Tribolium castaneum: one gene and its partner. The protein of the gene in region 2 purifies or fractionates together with the protein of the main gene of each other region. This does not show direct contact. Links are inferred from orthologs where the notes say so. Each region holds a gene or a part of one and is shown on either strand. Other genes may lie near its edges.

Region 1 (3,826 bases), on a different chromosome or scaffold from region 2:
CTCGAATTAATTTATCAAAACAAGTAGTATTTAATGGTAGATTTATGTGTACTTTAATTTTGTATGAGAAATGTTACTAAATAACAAAATAAAGTTTTTTAATTTACCTACACCTTTTTCCTTCTTCACAGAATTTTTTTGAGAAATGATCACATTTTTAAAGTTTTTGATGATGTATTAATTATTTTTTTTGATATTAATAATAATAAGAAACGCCGCAAAATCCTTTTTTTTTTTCTTGTATAGTTTTAATAATTTTAAAGTCCGTTTTTTATCACTTAAAAAAATTTATTTTTACAAATTTTTTTCAATTCTCTACTAATTTCTTTCATCAGCGTTTACAAACAAAATATCGGCTTCATTTCAGCAATGTGCTAGAGTCAAAAATGACTTTTTTTTCAATTTCTTTTGGTAAACAGTGGTGGAGGTGCAAAAAATACACAGGAATGCTTTGATAACTTTATTCTCATTTCAGAGTACGTACAATATAATCGGCTATATATTTAACAACAGGGCACAAATTCTAGTTATTGGTCATTTTTTTATTATATTTTTCAATTATTTGGCTTTTTATTTAATAATCTCTAAGTCAGTCAATAACGGATGGCTAAAGATATACGATTAAAGAGCCAAATGCAAAATTTTACGAAGTGCAATTAAGTTAGAAATTTCATAATTACGATTAATAAAAACTTAAAATAACAAGTTCCAACATTAATCTAACACTTAAGAATACCGAAGACTTCGTCACGCGCTCCGAGGACCGGAAATAAAATTTCGGCGAGACTTAACAATGATCAAACATCGACTAGCGTCAGCAAAAACAATCACTTGTTAAACTCTTTATAAAAATATAAGAAACTGTTCTAGTCGTAAGGCGTATCTCATCACAACTCGAATTGAATTATTTCACTTACCACTTACACGAAAATATATTTGCTTAAATGAAACCTGCCTATACATATAAAAAATAATTTATAAAATTTGTAAACTTAACCGAAAACGCCAACACCTCGTTCAAGCCGAATTTGGTTCCGGCTGAGCTTTGAAAATATTCGACAGTTCGTCAATCAGGGTTTCGTACCTAAATGCCACCCTTATGTCCGGCACGTTGGTCCTGGCGATGTCGTTCCCAGCCACGCCCTCCTTGGTGTAGTTGGGCCCCAGCCAGTACTGCTTGATCTTGTGCGGGAACCCGGACATGAGCACGCTGTTGCGCGCCAGCTCGCACATGTCGCAACTGGACAGCTTCCACACTTGGGCCGCAATGCTGTACTCCTCCATCAGGGGCTCCTTGGTGAAGTGGAACTGCAGCGGGTCGTCCGTGGACAGCGACACGACCAGCCCCCGCGACAGGTACTCCGGGAGCGGGTTCCGGTGGTAGTTCAAAAACAGGCTGTTATTGGACAGCGGACTCATCGCAATCCCGATCTGGGCCAAGTAGTACAAGTACTGCAAAACCGGGACTTTGCGCAGCAACAAGCCGTGCGAAATGTTCTCGGACAGCATGTAGCCGCACACGAGGTGCTGCACAGGGCCGGCTTCGCCGCAATGCGGGCGCAGGACGAACGTCGGGAGGCCCTTCTCGGCCCGGAAGTGGTTGAGTACGGCCATGTTGGCGTACATGTAGTATTGGTAGTAGGCGTAGTTCGGGTTTTCGTCGTCGTTCCAGTTTTCCGGTTTCGGGAGGTCTTTGTCGAAAAGCGGGTTTTTCTCGGGCTTGCTTTCGTCGTCCACGGAGTCAAAGCCGATGACATACTCCAGGAAGCGGTGCAGTTCCGGGTGGGAGCTCGGTCGCGCTGTCACCTCGAGCAGAGGCAGGAAAATATTGTCGATGACTTGTTGGAAGTTTTGGAGGAGTTTGTTTAGCTTGAAGATGTCGCTAGAGGGAGAAATTCGGTTAACAATTCGGGAAAGTCGGGATTTAGACAGAGCTGAGAATCGTAGTTAGCTACCAGCTAAACTATGTCTAAAATTTGAGTAAATGTATCTTAAGTACGATATAATAACAATTTATTTAGTATACATGTGCAGTGATTAAAACAATTTATTTAAAATGTGAGGCATTGACTGGAAAATTTAGTATTTTAGAGCAGTGCTGTAAGGTATTATTCATCATAATTCAAAAGAATTCTTCGTCTAAAACTCGCTGAATTACAAGTAAATTACGTTACTGCAATTTAATCACGTTAGATTGTAAAAAGTAGAAACAGCATGGACTTAAGCTTTTCAGAGCCCTGGACGCAGGTCATTTGACACATTTTTTTCCAATTTATTCGAAACGGACACTCTGTATATTGTTGCTAAGGTTCTCAGAAACTTACGATATTTTTTCATGCGATTTGAACTTATTTTTTTTATAGAAAATAAATAAATAGAGTTTTTAACCCGTTTAAACTCGGTTACAAATATTTAAAACGAGATACAAACTGATCTGTGGTCAATTTAAGAACAACAGCCTATTGTAAAAAAAATATTTTGTTTATTAGGTACTTTTTAATTTACTTGCTTATTTATTTACTCTCCTTAAAAACTCAATTTCAAACTTTGCGTTTATGCGCTTGTTGAAACAGCTTGTCTTCAGACCTTCTCAGGATAGTTCAACCATAACAAATAATTTAATATCTTCATATATTATCTTTGTTTAACGAATTTGTTAACTGTTTACTGGCGTGATTTCAGCTAATAAGTCTGGATAAATTAGCTCATTATTGAACAAAAAATTATAATAATTTAACCAATTTTAAACTATTTAGCGCAGAAATAAACAACTCTTCGTCTATCCACCCTTTTTTTGGACCCCATATTGTTTATCATAGATAGATAATAAAGATATCTACAGGTAAATCTGTTAAAATATAAAATAACGGAAGAGCAAATCAAATTGGTTTTTAAAATTAATGTTAAATTTAAACCTTTATCTCTTACTACTGTAAATTTAATGCATCAAAGGCCAGTTTATAGAAAGCTCAATTAAAGTCAATTGCGCTGTTAAAAGTTAAACATAGACCAATCAAATTGCTTCAATTTGGTCATGTGACCAGTTATCACGCATAATTCTTTGTTTTGTTTTTTAATTTGGCTTGTACGATTATTTTTTATATTGAATGTGCAGAGTTTAACAATTAAATATGCAAAGTAGATTTTTTCTAATCAAGTTCGTTTGTTTTTTTATGCTTACATAGTTTTATTTCTCTGTAAAAGAACAAATCAAATCCATCAACAATGAATAATTTTCATAATGCAATTACAATTGCGTTTCGTTCGTGAGATGATGTCGCAACGTGTAAAAATATTCATATCATAAAAAGCACTAATACATATTATGAGTATATGGTAAAAATTTAGAAAACAAAATTTTCTTTGTGCATTTACGAGTAGTTATGGGAAATAAATACGCTTGGTTTTTGAGGCATGAAGTTACAAATTATTATTAAAAAAATATTAGTGGTAGCTAAACTACTTCTTTTGAAATACTTACAAAAGCCGAGGAACTTGGATTAGCCAGCGAACGTTGTCTGAGTAGACATTGGAACCAATGGCCCATTTGGCCAATTTGTCCCACTCGTCCCTGCTTTTGCCGTAAATGCTCAAACGGAGCTCGGCATTCTGATATTTCGATTCCTCCAAATCGCTGCAGACTTCTTTAATAATCCTCGCGTAATATTTCCCGTTCAGATAATTATCAGTTTTCAGAAACACTTCTCTGAGTCTGCTTTCACCAATCGGGTTATATTTTGCATTGAATTTATCGAATCGGTGGAAAGTATTACGATCTGCATGGACGTCAAGCATGTCCACAGTCAAATCGTAAGTGGTCAAATTC
Region 2 (4,556 bases):
AATATGTTGTTTATTAAATGCGGAGTCGGCGGGAACAGTAGCCAAACTATCGATTCGTATTATTTTGTGGACGGGGAAGTCCGTCTACGCCAATACAGATAGCTTCAAAAACCTCCGTCACTTAAAAATCGCCGGAAACGAGACTCATTTGTTTTCTATTTTGGATGAACTGTTCTTATTTTTGATCATATCGTTAGTAATTTTTCGATAAATATTGAGATTGTTGGCAAGCATCTCGCTTAGGTGACTATCTGTACTGAGTAAACATCCGATTGATACTGCAACAACGTTGTATCAATAACAGGCGTAACAATGCAGGATTTCTTACATTAGCGGAAATGAAACTCTTTGTGGTTAAAATGACAGTAACATCGCAACCGAAGTATTGATCATTTTTGTAAAACCACCCAAAAAGCAAAGTTGGAAGTAAACAATAAACATACGACCCGCACATTACTAAAGTAACCATTTCCAAAAATACCTCACAAATAAACAGCGCTTCACTGCTTATACCCTAACCAAGTTTTTGTTCCTTACCTTGGAAACACAAGCGTCCTTGATTTATAATAAAGGAATACAGCGAACAATAAAAATAATGATAAATCGCGGGGTCTTAGTGTCATCGGCGACACAAAGTTCCTTTAATCTCTCGCAAGGGCATTACCGAGCAAAAAGGAGAATCTCTCTGGACGCATCACATAAATCAAAAATATTAACAAATTATGGATTGTTTAAAAACAATTCAATTTTGATAAAAGTTTAATTGTTACGGGGTGGACACATTCGAATTATTTATGGCCTGAATTGACACGGTACTGCTAAAATATTCATCGATGCAAAAATAGCCTTCGTATACGCTTCCATTTTAATGAAACAATTTTAATGGTAAATGTGTTACGTAAGCAATTATGATTTCTTTTTAATGGCAACTTCACCCCAATGATAAATTCAAGCAATGATATTTAATACAATTATATAATCACGAAACACTCGAATTAGTAATAAATGTCCCGACATGAGATAACACTGATTTTAGTAATAATCATGCATTATCGGTGCTAATCGAATTTGTTAAGCTTAATGCTAACTACAGGAGTCTGACATAAAAGTGATAATAAACTATCCCATGCAGTTAAGTCCGTTTTAATTACGATTTAATAAATGAATAAATAGGATGAAATATTCATTTAACTAAATTACAACCTGACAGCATGCTTTATCGTCCACCACATTAAACTGGAATTGCTCTACTGCCAATTCGCCAATTTATGTACTAAATAAATCCCGATTTTGCCAACTTTTCAAACTGACCAATTCAGTTTTCTCCGAAAGCACGGAGACATGTTAATGCTATTTTTGGTTCCCCATCAATAAAATAACGACATGACCTGTTACGGTAGCTGTAAAATCTCCATTGACTGAAATTCTCACGAAAATCATGATACGTTTCAAGTGCTTGTGAAAAACCTCCGCCTTGCGTATTTTTCCGCAAAAATGATACAGATGTGCTGAAGCAGATTTAAGGCGACCTTCAATCTTGCACAAAACTGTATCCCTTGATTCAATCAGACTGTATGAATAAATACGTCTATACGAGAACACTCCTTGATGTATTAATAGAAATGAAAACAATTTCTTCGCTTTAGTCACGAAAATCAGATGCAAAAATGAATCGCGGAGTTAAATACCACGAACCACCAGTATATTACATCTGGAATTAGCAAACCTCACCCCATTTTCTCTCAAAAGCAAATTAGTGGAATAGAAGAGATAAGTAAATTACCTACAAAGGTGAAAATCTTAACAGAGGGTGTTGTTATGATCTCCCTTGCGATACATCATTAAAACCTCTTTTGACAGATTTTACAGCATCACAATTTGCGTTAATTTTAAATATACATTTCCAGGCTGATAATTTTCTGCGACCAAATTAAATAAGAATATTTATGCGCGTTTCAAGTGAATACACTTCGTTAGGAATTAAAATGTTTAACATGCAATTCTAATTTGTAATTCCATTTAATTATCCCTAATTCCGCTCAAATGAGCATTGTTGCAATTAAAAATTATGGAAACAAAATGTAGCAAGATGGATATACATCTCGAAACGAGTTTTTACGCATCATTTCTTCCATTTACTACTACATTATAAATAATTTATAAGTGTGATTATTTTAAGTTACGTAAAAAAGCAGTCTTTGTCAAAACGCTTAGTGCAAGCTTAATTTATGGAATTTATGAGGTAGGGATGCAGCAAAATATTTCTTCAGTTTTGCAATGGTTGTAACAGGAGGCTTCGTTCGGTTTTAATGGAATGTTTCATTAGAAGTAATTAATTATGCAAAATGCTTATCAATGACGAAGTCCTTGTGTTTGTCCATTTGCTGATTGATTTTTCGGAATATTGGCGATATTTACGATCCGTAGAAAAGGAAGAAGTTTTATGATCTTGTAAAATGATTTATTTGGCCGACTAAAGGTTGGCATTAAATTAAAATCAGTAAAAGCGCGTAAACAAAATACCATCTGCAGGAGCGATGATTTTTTTGGAAGGCGAATGCCGTCTGTCCGGAAAATCGAAATTATAGATGATACAATGTAAACATTTTCGTATGCGTCTCGTCATTGTTATTAATTTGCGTTCGTGCACATTAACATAAATATTTTTGACGCGCTTTCGCCAAGAAAAAACCTCAAAGCTCGGACGAGCTCCAACATTTAAGACACAAGTTTAGGCCCCGAACGAGTAGGAATGATGAACATTTGTAACTTACCTGTGCTGCTGTCGCAAATCCAAATAGGATTGCACAACATAATAATGAACATATCCTTAAATACATCACTAAAAACAGTTTTTACTAGTCGAATTAACTCGACTATTTGTTTTTATTTCTGTAACTTAATATGGCACGGTTACCCCACAGCAAGCAACAAACGCATACAGTGTACTAGCTGATCAATGAGAAATACAACTACGGGTTGTCGAGTTACCGACTGGGTTCGGTCATTTTACAGCTCAAGCGCACACCGGCGCCAATTTCGAATTTGCCACCCAGCGGATGGCAACACTGCATTTTTTATGCTGAAGGGCCGCCATTACCGCCAATTATTTCAAAAAAACATGATATTAAGTGCTTAAAACAAGAATCTAACCTTTAAAAAGCTATCCTAAAAAAGGCTTATATAACTTTTTGTTATAGAAAGTTTTAACTTAGTTGTATGTCTTTTACCACTACCCAAAAAAAGATCTGACTCTTTTGAATCACCCTGTATACTTATGCCACGTAAAATTTATTTACATATACAAAACAATATTATTATGCCTTTTTTCTTCCTATAGACTGGTCATTGCGGAACATTGGGGGTGTGTTTTGTACACGTTGTAACAAGTTTTTTGAGTTATTTCATGTTTCTACCGCACACAAGCTCGCAATGCGACTTTAAAGCTCGCAATCGACTTTAAAGCTCGCAATCGACTTTAAAGCTCGCAATCGACTTTAAAGCTCGCAATCGACTTTAAAGCTCGCAATCGACTTTAAAGCTCGCAATGCGACTTTAAAGCTCGCAATGCGACTTTAAAACTCGCAATGCAACATTAAAGCACGCAATACGACTTTTAAAGCTCGCAATGCGACTATTTACTTAAGGTCCAAGATTTTATTAATTTAACAGTTTGAAAAATTTGTGATCGTGGCCCTTTAAGGGCATCGTAGTACGCAGTGTCAAACACTAAACAAATATTACGTAACCATCATTTTTATCGAAAAAATAAATATGGTGTGCCACACACAATTGAGAAAAACACACAGTGAAGGCGATAATATTTATTTGAAAATAATACCTATATCATACAGTAAACGTGAACATATTTTCCAATCTAAGAAATCTACTTTCAAGCTGTGGAACTCAAATATGAAATTACTCCTTGTCGATTTCGGTGACTCTCTGCTTGTGGCGATTGATCGCATCTTGATGTCTCTTGATTTGCTCCTCGTGGAAATTAATTTCGTTCTTTAAATCGTCTTTCAGTTTCGATAACTGTTCCCTTTGCTTAAAAAAAACTATAAACAAATCTATTATTAGCCGGTGCATCTAACCTTTTTATAGAAATACTCCTCTTCCTTGGCGGCTTCAGCCTTGCCGAAGGCACCCCCGGCTTCGCGAATTGTGCCGCCGCCGCCGCCCCCTTTCCCAGCCCCGCTCCCTAAATCGCCAAGCTGTGACATTAATCGAAACTGTCTGAAATAAAAATATGACAATATTATGTAAGACGATGACTGGAAGGCACTAAGTGGTGCAGTTTGCACCTGCACCTACTTCGGAGCTTTCGATGCCTCCAGAAGGGTTCGCGGGTTACGCAAAAAGCTCATTTCGTACTTTGCGAGAAGTTTGTGCCGCAAAATCACCTGGACTTCGTGTGACAACTTTTCACCAACTCCTGAATGTCAAAGTGTCAAATTCACCGGTAAGCTAGGCAGCTACCTGAGCGACATCTAATGAATTCCACTCCCAAAACCACCAAAACTCTTCGAAATTTCCTTAAATTCCCTTTATTC

The links.
Region 1: the proteins of Sdc (region 2) and AMPdeam purify together in Homo sapiens (co-immunoprecipitation; 3 studies listed by BioGRID and IntAct, counting the BioPlex papers as one, with this or other methods). This does not show direct contact. The link is inferred for Tribolium castaneum from reciprocal best matches to the Homo sapiens genes SDC2 and AMPD2.

Annotation. Positions count from the first base shown.
Region 1 is NC_087396.1:12,801,678-12,805,503, forward strand, and holds the end of AMPdeam (AMP deaminase 2), read right to left. Parts: coding exon 3,482-3,826; intron 1,883-3,481; coding exon 1,018-1,882; 3' UTR 447-1,017; downstream 1-446. UniProt on the Homo sapiens protein: AMP deaminase plays a critical role in energy metabolism. Catalyzes the deamination of AMP to IMP and plays an important role in the purine nucleotide cycle.
Region 2 is NC_087403.1:6,250,850-6,255,405, reverse strand, and holds the start of Sdc (syndecan), read right to left. Parts: upstream 2,978-4,556; 5' UTR 2,841-2,977; coding exon 2,775-2,840; intron 1-2,774. Other genes in the region: ATPase inhibitor mai-2, mitochondrial, read right to left, coding at 3,919-4,050, 4,098-4,239, 4,318-4,370. UniProt on the Homo sapiens protein: Cell surface proteoglycan which regulates dendritic arbor morphogenesis.